Danio rerio: one gene and its partners. The protein of the gene in region 3 purifies or fractionates together with the protein of the main gene of each other region. This does not show direct contact. Links are inferred from orthologs where the notes say so. Each region holds a gene or a part of one and is shown on either strand. Other genes may lie near its edges.

Region 1 (3,658 bases), on a different chromosome or scaffold from region 3:
TATTATTTTTAATCAGCCAAGAGATTAGTTTCCATTATTTTTTTATTTAAAATTAAACAAACTTGAACTAAAATGAGAATTAAAATATGTAAACAATTACTTTAAAAAAATGGTTACAAAAAATGTAATCTATAAATCTAAAATAATAATCTAAAGTAAAAACTGTCTTGACAGTTTTAGTACAATAATAAATATGAAATCAATCAAACTACGACCTACTTTATGAATTTATCGAATAACTTAATGAAGCTTAAATAAAATTATAATAACAATTAGATTAAACTAGAGACATGGAAAAACAAATAAGAAAAATTATGCAAACCCACAAAAAAGACAAATTAAAACTTTTTTTAATTTGTTTAATAAATAAATGAATAAATAAATGATAATACTAAAAATATTAATAATAATAATTTTGAAAATAATTAAAACTTTATAAACTACATTAGTTATGCAATGATGCCAAGGTATGAATACCTTTACTGATATTTATTACTTATTAATAATATTTTTTTACAAAAGGAAGATTGAAAATGTTTAAACCCTAAAATTACATATGCTAATGAACATTCTTTGCTCTAAAAAGAATCCTACAACTAAACTTCAAAGAAACATACAACTGACTTACACTCTGGGCCACAGAAAGTGAGATGTCACCAAACTGTTTGAGGAAGTGCATGCGTGCAATAACAGGAATCATGTCCATGATGAGGTGATAGTCCACCATGTTTCTGGAATACATCTCCAAACGCTTCAGGTCATATGGAGTGAAGGTGGCTGCGAGTTCAGCACTTGTGAGAACTGAAAAACAAATACACATGAAGATCTATCTTTAACCAACAAACACACACACATACAGCATGTAGGAGGCAGATATGGGTCTGTACCTGCCGTGCTGTCATCTTTAGCGCTCTTGTTCTGTAGTATATTTAGAGCCAGAGTCGAACTAAATTTGCTGAACTGGAAGGACATCAGCGAGAGAAACCTCCGCCGGAAATCTGTCCAACACAAAACATGTCAATCTTACAAATCAGAAGTAAATAGATAATAGTGACACTTAAATGTATTAGAGAGTGCAACAGTCAAATTCTGAAAAGAAAAATCTCCATTCTGTTTATTGTGACAGAAAAATTGCAAATCTGCAGTGAGTTTTGAGGTTGATAACTGAGTTTTTTTTTTTTTTTTTTTTTTACTATGTTGTTTAGTAAGCTGCATTTCTGTTGAATGACTACATTTTCCATGATGCTGAACAGGAAAATAAAACAGAACAAATCCACCAATCAGAGAGCAAAGAAGTTAAATATATTTACATTTACATTTTAAAATTAAATTGAAATATATTATTTATATGGATATACTCAGCAACTTTAAATATTTTAACATTTGTCAGTCGTTTTTCATGGGATTGTAGTTAATTTCCTCATAATTGCAGTTATGCCTACAATCTTGTTGTTTTTTAGGGGGTGGGGGTGGGGGTTTACCATCAAACCAAAAGTTATGATTTCAGACCACAAAGTTTAAATCTGACTAGTGCGCTTTAACATATCCCGTAAAGTTAAAGAATGCATTTAGTACAGTGAAAGTAGCTGGAATTTGTGGCATTTTGAACACATTAAAACGGCATTTAGTAAGACGCGTTTTCAATGAAGCTCTGGAATTGGTCAAAAGTGAACAGGCTAAAACCTTTCTGAGCTGACCTACACCTGTATTCAGAATCATCCACTTTTAAACAGATATACATCTTAATACAATATGTAAATTGCCTCACAGAACACTCTGCAGTACTTGATACTTTAATATGAATGGTCCAGTTGACCAATCAAAACGATAAAAGAAATAATGAATAGTTACCCTTCCAAAAAGCAGAGAGCCACTGGTTCTGGTCTGTTGAATCTTCAGAATTGAGGTCTTTGAGCATAATGCAGGAGTGCTCGCCTGTCAGGTCATTCTAGAGGTCATGATATAACAAAAATATCACAAACTTAGAGCAAGATAAACAACCCTGACATGACTTCAATTAAAAAAAAAAAAAAGCTGCAAGCTCACCGGAGTCTGTCTCAAATAAACAGGAACAAATCCAGCCTTTTTCCAGAATCTAAAAGGGAAACCCAGAGACAATATGTTTGAAAAGAGTTTTGTAATAATGTTGCATTACTTGTTGGGGGTAACACATATATCATGTAGTTTTATTACGTTTATTACGTAAAGTAACATTACTATTAATTTTCAAGAAAATATAGGGAGTTTTTTTTTTTTAAATAAATAAATAAATGAATCGCCATTTACTGGCTGACAGCTCTTTTGTTCCCCAGATGGGTTGTGTATGATGTAAAAAGATTTATTCACATTTTACTTTTGGTGTAAGAGGGCTTTACAATTTAAAAAATACACTTTTTTATATTACTAAAAGCATTATTAACAAGCAGCCCAGTCCAGTTGAAAAAAATGTAAGCCACAGTCACACTAGAGTTTGTGTATCAATAGAAGTCTAATGATCGAAAAGTGCAGTGACCACGGCTTCACAAGTAACTTTAACAAGTCGTTAAAAAGTAACTAAGTACCATATTTAGATACTTTAAAAATTAATAAGAGATTATAATGTTACTTTTAAAAGTAACCTTCCCCAACACTGCTTGTAGCAATATCACTATAGTGTCTGTTTGCATGAAGGGACTGACTTCAGTAGTTGAGGAGTGAGGCCATAAGAAACTCCCAGGTAATCCAGCCGCTCAGCTCTCCTTTCATTCAGCTTCAACAGCAGTGGTGGCAGATCTTTCCTTGGAGAAACCACCTCCTCCAGCAGACTGACAGCCTGGACATCAACATCAACAAACATACTACTTCACAAAACATACTTAAACTGTTCTTATTTTGGATGTTGGCTCAATATGCCATCTCAGTATTTAAGAATGATCTAAAAAAATGAAAAATGAAGTGTACACATTGATGTGACAGAGGGCCAATTTAAATATGCAAAATTTATGGTAAAATGTAAGTTTAAAGAATTAGCACTGTAAATTATAACGTCAGTGAAAATAAAAAGAAATTACATTTTTTAAAGAGATTTTAATAATTAAATTCTGTAAGGAAATGTTAACTTGATTAAAGTTGAAAGTAAATGCATACACGGTTTAACTTCACAATTATTATATTGTGTATATTTCTCACAGATATACTTTAGAAAATCTGACACTTTTTTGGAATTTCCAAAAAAAAAAAAAAAAAAAAAAAAAAACACTAACTGTTTTCAGCACTGATTGTAATGATAAATGTTTCATCAAATCATCATATCAAAATGAAGAATCATGTGCCACTTAAGATTGGAGTAATTGTTGCTGAAAATACAGCTTAGCATATCAGATATACATGACATTTAAAGGGTCACGAAACAACAAAACACATTTTTTGAGCTGTTAACAGTCGTATATGTGTCCCATGCTGCTACAAACACTATTAGGACACATATATTTCACTAAAAACTGAAAATTGGTTGTTTTTGTGTTATTGTACTTCCGGTTAAAAATGAATTTTTGAAGCTGCGTCACGGCCATGAGATCTTAGCATGTATTCCAGCGTGTAGGCTGGATGTCTGTACCCGGGAGTGTTTTATTACGTCTCTGAGTGTGTTGCAATAATGCATGAGTAAGATTTGGTTCAA
Region 2 (4,201 bases), on a different chromosome or scaffold from region 3:
TTGACATTTTAAAGCATTTTCCCCTTATTTTTACAGATACATTTTGTATATTCCAGTTTTAGAAACTTCTGCAAGTTCTGTGTAAGCAAGGATAAAAAGTTTTTAAAAATTATGAAAATTATGTCTTTATTACACATTATTTTCATCCATTTCTAAAGCTAATATACAAAAATGAATGCAACCAAAAATCAAAGAAAAAAAGTAAATAATTAGAAGGCACAGAACAATGCTATTAAGAGATGTTTGTTTCTGATAGTTTTATAACACCAATGTCACATTAAAATATTGATCTTATATAGGGTAAAACTAGAGCTTGTATTGTAGGACTTTATAAGATTGCGATATCTTACAATATCTCCAAGCAATCATTTCAAAGATTACAGCATACTTTTTAACTTGCTAGCAATTATCTTGAAATCATCAAACCTGTTAGTGGTAGTCCAGTCTCTTTTCCAGAGTAGCAGGTTTAAACATTAGTGTTTTCATTTATCACATGACCTGTACTGATGTCATTCATTTCATAAATATAAAAAAATACTTGAAATGACCCTAAAAGTTTTTTTTTTTTTTTTGAAAATTGTATTATTTTCTATTTTAGACAAAGCTGTTCTTTTAACATCCGATATGTGTATATATGCACACATCAGAGATGTTCGGAGCTTCATCAGATGGCATCAAATAAATAAATCTATAGTTAACTTAAAAAAATTAAAAAGTTTGAAATTTTTGCATTGGTGTTCACATATCAAACAGAGTAATGGTTTTCAATGCATGAACTGTCTTTTTACCACAGTTTCTTGTCATTTTAAGTGAACTTTATTTCTTATAATATCATATATTTTTATTTAATGCCATGTCAGCAACAATGTTTTTATGGCAATAAAAATCTATTCAGAAAAAAAAAATACAACTTAATACCAAACAAATAAACACAAAATAAATTAGATAACATTTTTCATATTAATATATGATAAAAATTCTACAATTTGCTTTGGTAAAACTTTTTTAAATATCCCTTTAACTTAGTTCAATTCATAAAAATACTTCCTACATTCATTAAAGTCCAATAGATTTCTTAAAAAGTATACTTATTAAATATTACAAATTTCATAATTTTGAATGAAAGTACTCTAATGCGGAAATGCCAGTCTAAAAAAAACAATATAGTAATATATATAAATATATATAAATATGTATATATATATATATATATATATATATATATATATATATATATATATATATATATATATATATATATTTTTTTTTTTTTTTTTTAAATTGCATAAACACAGTCTCTGACACTGCTCTGTGCTTTACAAGGTTTGTGCCTTACTGTCCGTATGGTGACCAGTCTGTGGATAGCACTGTTGTCCTTCAGACTTTCTCCTTCTGTCTTCAAACTGATCAAATGAGTGATGTCTTGCAGATAAAACAGTAACAGATGATATCTCAAGTCCAGAAAAGACAAACCCTAAAGCAAACAGAAAAAAATAATCAAGTCATGCACATAATTGCGGTAAAGTTTTTTTTTTTTTTTTTTTACCAGAGACAACATTTACCTTGGAAGTCTGGTAAGCTTTCTCTCTGACTTTCTTTATAAGCTCCCGAACATGACTGGTGACTGAAACAATCTGAAAATATCAAACAGCATCATCACATCTCCATGTTCATCTAGTGTGCTAGCTGTATTACCTAAAGATTAGTCTGTTACTGATAACAAATTAAAAGCACCATAAAAATGATGTTAAAAGACTGTAACAATACTAAAGTAATCAACAACCAAAGTGAACAATGGCTTTACTATATACGATGAATAACTCAAACAGTTTGAACTTACATCTAATGCAATTTGTAATTAAATACTGTTGAATTTACCATCAGTTTTTTCTTAAAGAAACAAATTGAGCTGTTTAAAATGAATAAAGTCTAGAAAGGCGTGATCAACAAACCCAGAATTTGACTAAATGATATAAAAAAGCATAAGAACCAATACATTACAAATAGTATACTTGATTGTGTAAATAATGTGTAATCCCATTGTCCATAAAATACAAACAGGTAAAGTTGGTTTTATATTCGCACATTTGTTCATTCTTGAACAGTGACAATTTGTGAATGTTCCTATATTTACTTTGAATATTCGGTCTGAAATTGCGTGTAGTATGACTTTAAAACAACATTAGCACTATTTAATTGACTGAACACTGTTGTACCTTGATAGTCATTGGCTGCTAATTTGGTTTATTGAGGTAAAGTTGGTACTTTAAAAGTTGGTATCGTTTAGTGACAACCTGTGACACGCTCCATATATTGTTTGGTACTTTGAATATTCAGACTAAAAACCCAGCGTAAATATGACTTAAACAACATTAGCACTACTGAACAGTGTTGTACTTTGATAGTCATTGGCTTCTATTAAATTTCACTCTTTAGGATTGGCAAATAATACTTTTCTGAAATGTTATTATTGAGATGAAAGTCTGAATGTGCGAAAATAAAACCATCTTTAACTCAATATAAAATATAACGTGTAATTGTGATGCAGACAGTTCTCAAAAATAACCATCAAAATATTACATTTTGTGAAATTACAGACCTGTTCGGTGAGACTGTTAAGTAGACGGACAGCAGTCGGAAGATCACGGTCTATAACATCCTACAAGCAATAAATAAATAAATAAATATACAAAAGTAAATAAATTTCTAAAAGGCTATCGTGTAATCCAATGTCCAGTTTTACTCATCTTAACTGGAAAATAAAAGTACATTAAATGACAGTATAATAGAAATGTAATAAAATACTAAACTTCAATCGTCTATGTTTAGGTTTGACTAAAGAATAAAGAAACTAATTAAAGATAAACTCACGTTTCCAACTGCGGTGGCCGCCATTTTGAATTAAGCAAAGTTGATACGGAAAGCGTGTGGGGACAAAACTCAAAGCAGGCAATTCGGGAAAATTCGTCTCGACCAACAGTTTTACCAAAGGCTGACAGGACGGTTTAAATGTGATTTGATTATTATATACATGTTGCTTTTCATAGACACTTGTAAAAGGACCTACAAACGGTTTTCTGGAGCATTTACAGCGTCAATTTGATGTAATTTGTTTCATTTATAATAGCATTTTTAATCAACGTAAGACGATTTACTGCTGGTTTTACGCTGGGCTTTAAACGGGTTTTAAGCAATTCGTGGCTGATGTGTTTTAAACAGGGTTTAGACTGATAGTCTAAAACTATAGACTAAAACTTTAGACTATAGTCTAGCATATTATACAACCCAGTTTCTCTAACAAATAAAAAGCTTTCATTTTACTATCTCCTACTCTACTACTTAACATACTATTAATATTTAGATTTACCTTATTTTCCTCAGTGTCTATCATCATTTTCCGTTCCCTTTTATATAATGGACATTTCTTTATGATATGTTCTATACTTTCCTCTTCATCACAATTAATACAAAGTCCATTTGGATGTTTTCCTATTCTAAACAGTCCACTATTCAGAGCAGTATGCTCAAACCTTAACCTTGACATGATGGTTTCCTCGCATCTATTTTTCCCTATTTCTGTTTTTACCCACCATCCTCTGGATCACATATTACCACCTTCCTTCTTCCTTCCATTTCTTTTGCCATCTTTCCCTCACATATTGTCGAATAATTGTCTTCATTTCATTTTCCCAGTTCTTAAAAACATGTCAATTTCTGATTTATTTATTTGTTTATTTATTTTTTGTGGCCTCCTTTGCCTATTCATCTGCTTCTTCATTCCCTAAAGTTCCAACATGTGCTGGAACCCAGATAAATAATTCTATTGATCTAGTACTCAGGAAGCATCATGGTTTAAAAGACGTCTATTAGCCGTCTAATTATTTTCTACTAATTGTAGTAAAATCATGATTCGTTTTCGCAATATTATAAAACTAAAATGTAACTAGTTCTTACTGTTTGCATCTACTTTTTTGTTGTTAATTTACAGTTCAAAACTATTCTAAATTATTGTGTGATTTTCGACTGTCCTTCAGTTTTGCCTTTTACCAGAAGATGGCGCAGGACTCCATATTACACCAGTCTCATCAGCATCTGTGAGACTGCCGGAGCAGAATCAACCACACTGATAGACAATGTGAGTTACTAAACACAATGCAAAATGTGATCATCAAATCATGATTCATTTCGACCTACTTAAAAA
Region 3 (3,658 bases):
CCAATTTCTGTTTAGGGGAAAAAATATATTTTTCAGCACATTTCTAAACAAAACAGTTTTAATAACTATTTTTTTTAATAACTGATGTATTTTATCTTTGCCATTATAACAGTACATAATGTCTTTTAGATATTTTCCAGATACTAGTATTCAGCTAAGTTTAAAGTTAAGACTTATCTAGGTTAATTAGACAAGTTAGGGTAAATAGGCAAATCATCATATAACTATAGTTTGTTCTATAGACATTCAAAAAATATTTCTGAAAGGGGCTAATACTTGTGATTAAAATGGTTTTAAAAAAATTAAACACAGCTTTAATTCCAGTCAAAATAAAACAAACAAGACTTTCTCTGGAAGAAAAAAATATTATAGGATAATACTGTGAAAGGTTCCTTGTTCTTTTAAACATAATTTGAGAAATATTTCAAAAAGAAACAAAATGCACAGCTGGGCTCATAATTCTGACTTTAACTGCATATGGTAATCTGAGAAGTGGAATTTAAATTGATGTTTTTTTTTAATTATTTTTTATAATGTTCACAGCCCTTTGGGACCTGATGCTTGAAAGGCGGATCAAAATGCAGAAAGCTCTTGTGACAGCCAATCAACTTCCACAACCACAAACATTCTCAGAGTTCAAGAGCAGGGGAGGGGCTGAATATGCTGATGCTTTGAAAAATAGTAAGTGAATTTACATTATTTGACTGAGAATTTATAATTAAAAACATGTTCAGTATCCTAACTATTTCCTATATGTTTCACATAAAATGAATAAAAATGTTAGGGGTTTTTATTGTATTATTGTATATTGTGTAAGTTAGCTACAAAACTGTTTAAAAATGTTGGAATTTGGAATATTTTATAATTTCTTTTCCAAAAGAAATTCATGCTCTTATTCTACAAGGATAAGTTAAATTAATCTGAAGTGACGGTGAGAGTTGTACTATTTATGAAATTGTTTGGTAAAAATGTTGGTAAAAGTTTGGTAAAAATGCTGTGTTTCTTTGAGTCTTTAAGGCCGTACTCACACCATGCACAGTTGCCTCGAACCAAGCCAAAGCACGCTTGTCCCCCTTCCCGTCTCCCCTGACTCACATTACAATCGCCTGGGCACGCTTACGCCATCGATGCTGCGATGTTTACTAAGTGCTCTTGCTCAGTGCAGTGGAGATTTCTGTAGTTATATTGTTTCAGTCGTTTGATATGCAGTGACACGCAGTCAAATATTTTGCCAAACAGTCCTAAGGGATACGGTAACATGCAGTCATATTTCGTCGAACAGATCCGCCACTTTTGTCGCTCATAAACAGTCATAAAGCCCTCGTGCTGCAGGAATGAGGAGGTTTGCTGAAGGTGCGCAGCTGTCTTGCAGTGAGGGGTTTCCGTCTTTAATAAACGACGGCAGTTTGCGTTCATTGAACAGTAAGATTGATTAATAAATCCATATGAAACAGTTTCTTAAGTCACGTCTCGCTTGCAGTTTCGGGCTTTGGCACGTTTTACACTCACACTACAAGCGAACCGCGCCAATGTGTGTATAGTCCATCCTGTCACAAAATGCAACGAAAATCCTACACGACGGTAATAGTTTGATTTAAGGTGTTTACATTTTTACATTCGGAGAGCAGCATTTACAGTGGATCTTTCAGTCCATAATATTGTAGTGATATTACTGTAAACTTAGGTATGTCTTTAAAAACTGTTGACAATACTAACTAGTTTTGCCTCTGAATAAACATAAACATAGAACACTGATTACACACATACCAAATCTGTAGTGGCAGGACAATTAACACCAATTGGAACCTCTTTTTTTTTTTTTTTAAAGGAGATAAGCGGCAAATCTGGAATTTACCATTTACAGATGTGAGAAGCACTCGGGTAGAATGTTTTTTGCAAACTTATTTTTGTCATATGTTAGCAGACCACTGTAAACAACACATATAAGTCCACATGCTGCGGTTTCATAGCCGGGAATTAAAAACAAAACCTTTGTTGCAGCACATTTATAAACGCAACACTGACGACCTGTGTCTCCAAACAATTATTCATCTTCCACTTGTTTAAATTACAGTTGTCAACACAATGTGGCGTTTTTCTGCCTTCTGAACACTGTAACAGGAAAAAACTCTATCATGTATATTAATGAAGTTGCCCCTCATACAAAATTGAGCGTGCTGATTGGTTCGAACCAAGTCTTTCTCATGAGTTAATGCTGAAAGCTCAAAGACGTCACGTTGTACCCGCCGGTACAGACATCCGGTCTACATCTGGTAATTTACACAGGGATCTCATGGCCGTGGTGCAGCTTCAAAATTGCTTTTCAAACCGGAAGAACGACTTTGCTCGAAATAACACAAAAAAAAACAAATTTCACTTTTTTTTGTGAAATATGTGTCTCCTTATAGTGTTTTTAGCATTGTGGGGCACGCAACATCTCAAAAAATGTGTTTTGGTCTTTCGTGACCCTTTAATTTGCCCTTTCAAGGCAAAGTTAAGGCCTTGAAAAGCTCTTTACCAAAGCAGAAGATTCTAAATTTAAAAAAGCTGTTTGCAATCTTTCTTGGTGTTTTTGAAAAATAAGAATCGCAAAATAAAGCAAACATTTTTGCTTTCGGAGTGTCCTTTTAATTGCCTAAAATGTTTTACAAATTTTTTTGACGGTATCGAGATTTATTGACTGAACACCATTGCCAGTAATGATTTAAAATAAAAAGTTTGCTATAAAGTTATGGTATGCAGCGCCATAGCTTTATTCAAATGTTGCTGCTGAGCGCGCACCTTCGAGGCAATGCCACTAAGCTTAGAGCTATTTCCAATTGAGGCGCATAGGGGTTGTGCATTTCCAGGTGCAACTAAAGTTGAAAACATTTCAGAATGCTACATGCACACTACGATTTTATGTAAGTAGAACTAACCAATCTGCTTCACACTTTGTATGCAATATACATATTTTGATAGTAATGACAGACTCTGACGAATGCAGAGCACTCAAACACTGCAGTGCTTTTTTATTCTCTTCATAAATACAAACTAGTGTAGGAACTGGAGCAAAAGTTTGTTTGTTTTGTTGACATCCGCTGAAAAAATGGCTAATGGTCACCTAGTTATGAGATACGCCAGAGGAATACAAGCACAAAGTGCATATTGAATGAAACTAAATTCACTTTCTCATGCTTTTCACATGCTTTTAGACACAACATGTGAAAGGAGTGCGGTTAGATTACGCCACCTCTGGCCAGAATAACAACACGTGAAAATTAGTGTCATGACAAGCAGCAATAAAGAGATTGTAAATTAAAAAAAAAAAAAGGATGCAAGGATGTCACCAGAGTGGCTTTTTGGTTTCTTTTCTTGTGCAATCCAGCCACAAGCGATCTAAAAGATATTTTGAAAGATATTTTATTATAGGGGGTAATGTAGTCATTCAACTTCACAATTTAAAATGTTGCTATATGTATTTAAATGATGTCTATTTCCTTTACTTGAAAGTTCAGGTTTGATTATCAGAATTTTAGTTTACAGAGTTCTTGGTTTACTGTATCATTATTATTCACACCTTGCAGTTGCTGATCAACTTTTACATTTGTGATGATTGTTCAGCAATTATACTTTTTCAACATTTTATTTATTAAGTTTGAGTCTTTTTAGCACTCAT

Evidence for each region.
Region 1: the proteins of aatf (region 3) and nat10 purify together in Homo sapiens (affinity purification with mass spectrometry; 3 studies listed by BioGRID and IntAct, with this or other methods). This does not show direct contact. The link is inferred for Danio rerio from reciprocal best matches to the Homo sapiens genes AATF and NAT10.
Region 2: the proteins of aatf (region 3) and ngdn purify together in Homo sapiens (affinity purification with mass spectrometry; 3 studies listed by BioGRID and IntAct, with this or other methods). This does not show direct contact. The link is inferred for Danio rerio from reciprocal best matches to the Homo sapiens genes AATF and NGDN.

Annotation. Positions count from the first base shown.
Region 1 is NC_133193.1:41,151,124-41,154,781, forward strand, and holds part of nat10 (RNA cytidine acetyltransferase), read right to left. Parts: intron 2,813-3,658; coding exon 2,679-2,812; intron 2,096-2,678; coding exon 2,047-2,095; intron 1,949-2,046; coding exon 1,852-1,948; intron 999-1,851; coding exon 888-998; intron 802-887; coding exon 629-801; intron 1-628. UniProt on the Homo sapiens protein: RNA cytidine acetyltransferase that catalyzes the formation of N(4)-acetylcytidine (ac4C) modification on mRNAs, 18S rRNA and tRNAs.
Region 2 is NC_133199.1:16,007,536-16,011,736, reverse strand, and holds the start of ngdn (neuroguidin), read right to left. Parts: upstream 2,956-4,201; 5' UTR 2,896-2,955; coding exon 2,872-2,895; intron 2,660-2,871; coding exon 2,600-2,659; intron 1,635-2,599; coding exon 1,563-1,634; intron 1,475-1,562; coding exon 1,337-1,474; intron 1-1,336. UniProt on the Homo sapiens protein: Part of the small subunit (SSU) processome, first precursor of the small eukaryotic ribosomal subunit.
Region 3 is NC_133180.1:61,611,116-61,614,773, forward strand, and holds part of aatf (protein AATF), read left to right. Parts: intron 1-543; coding exon 544-681; intron 682-3,658. UniProt on the Homo sapiens protein: Part of the small subunit (SSU) processome, first precursor of the small eukaryotic ribosomal subunit.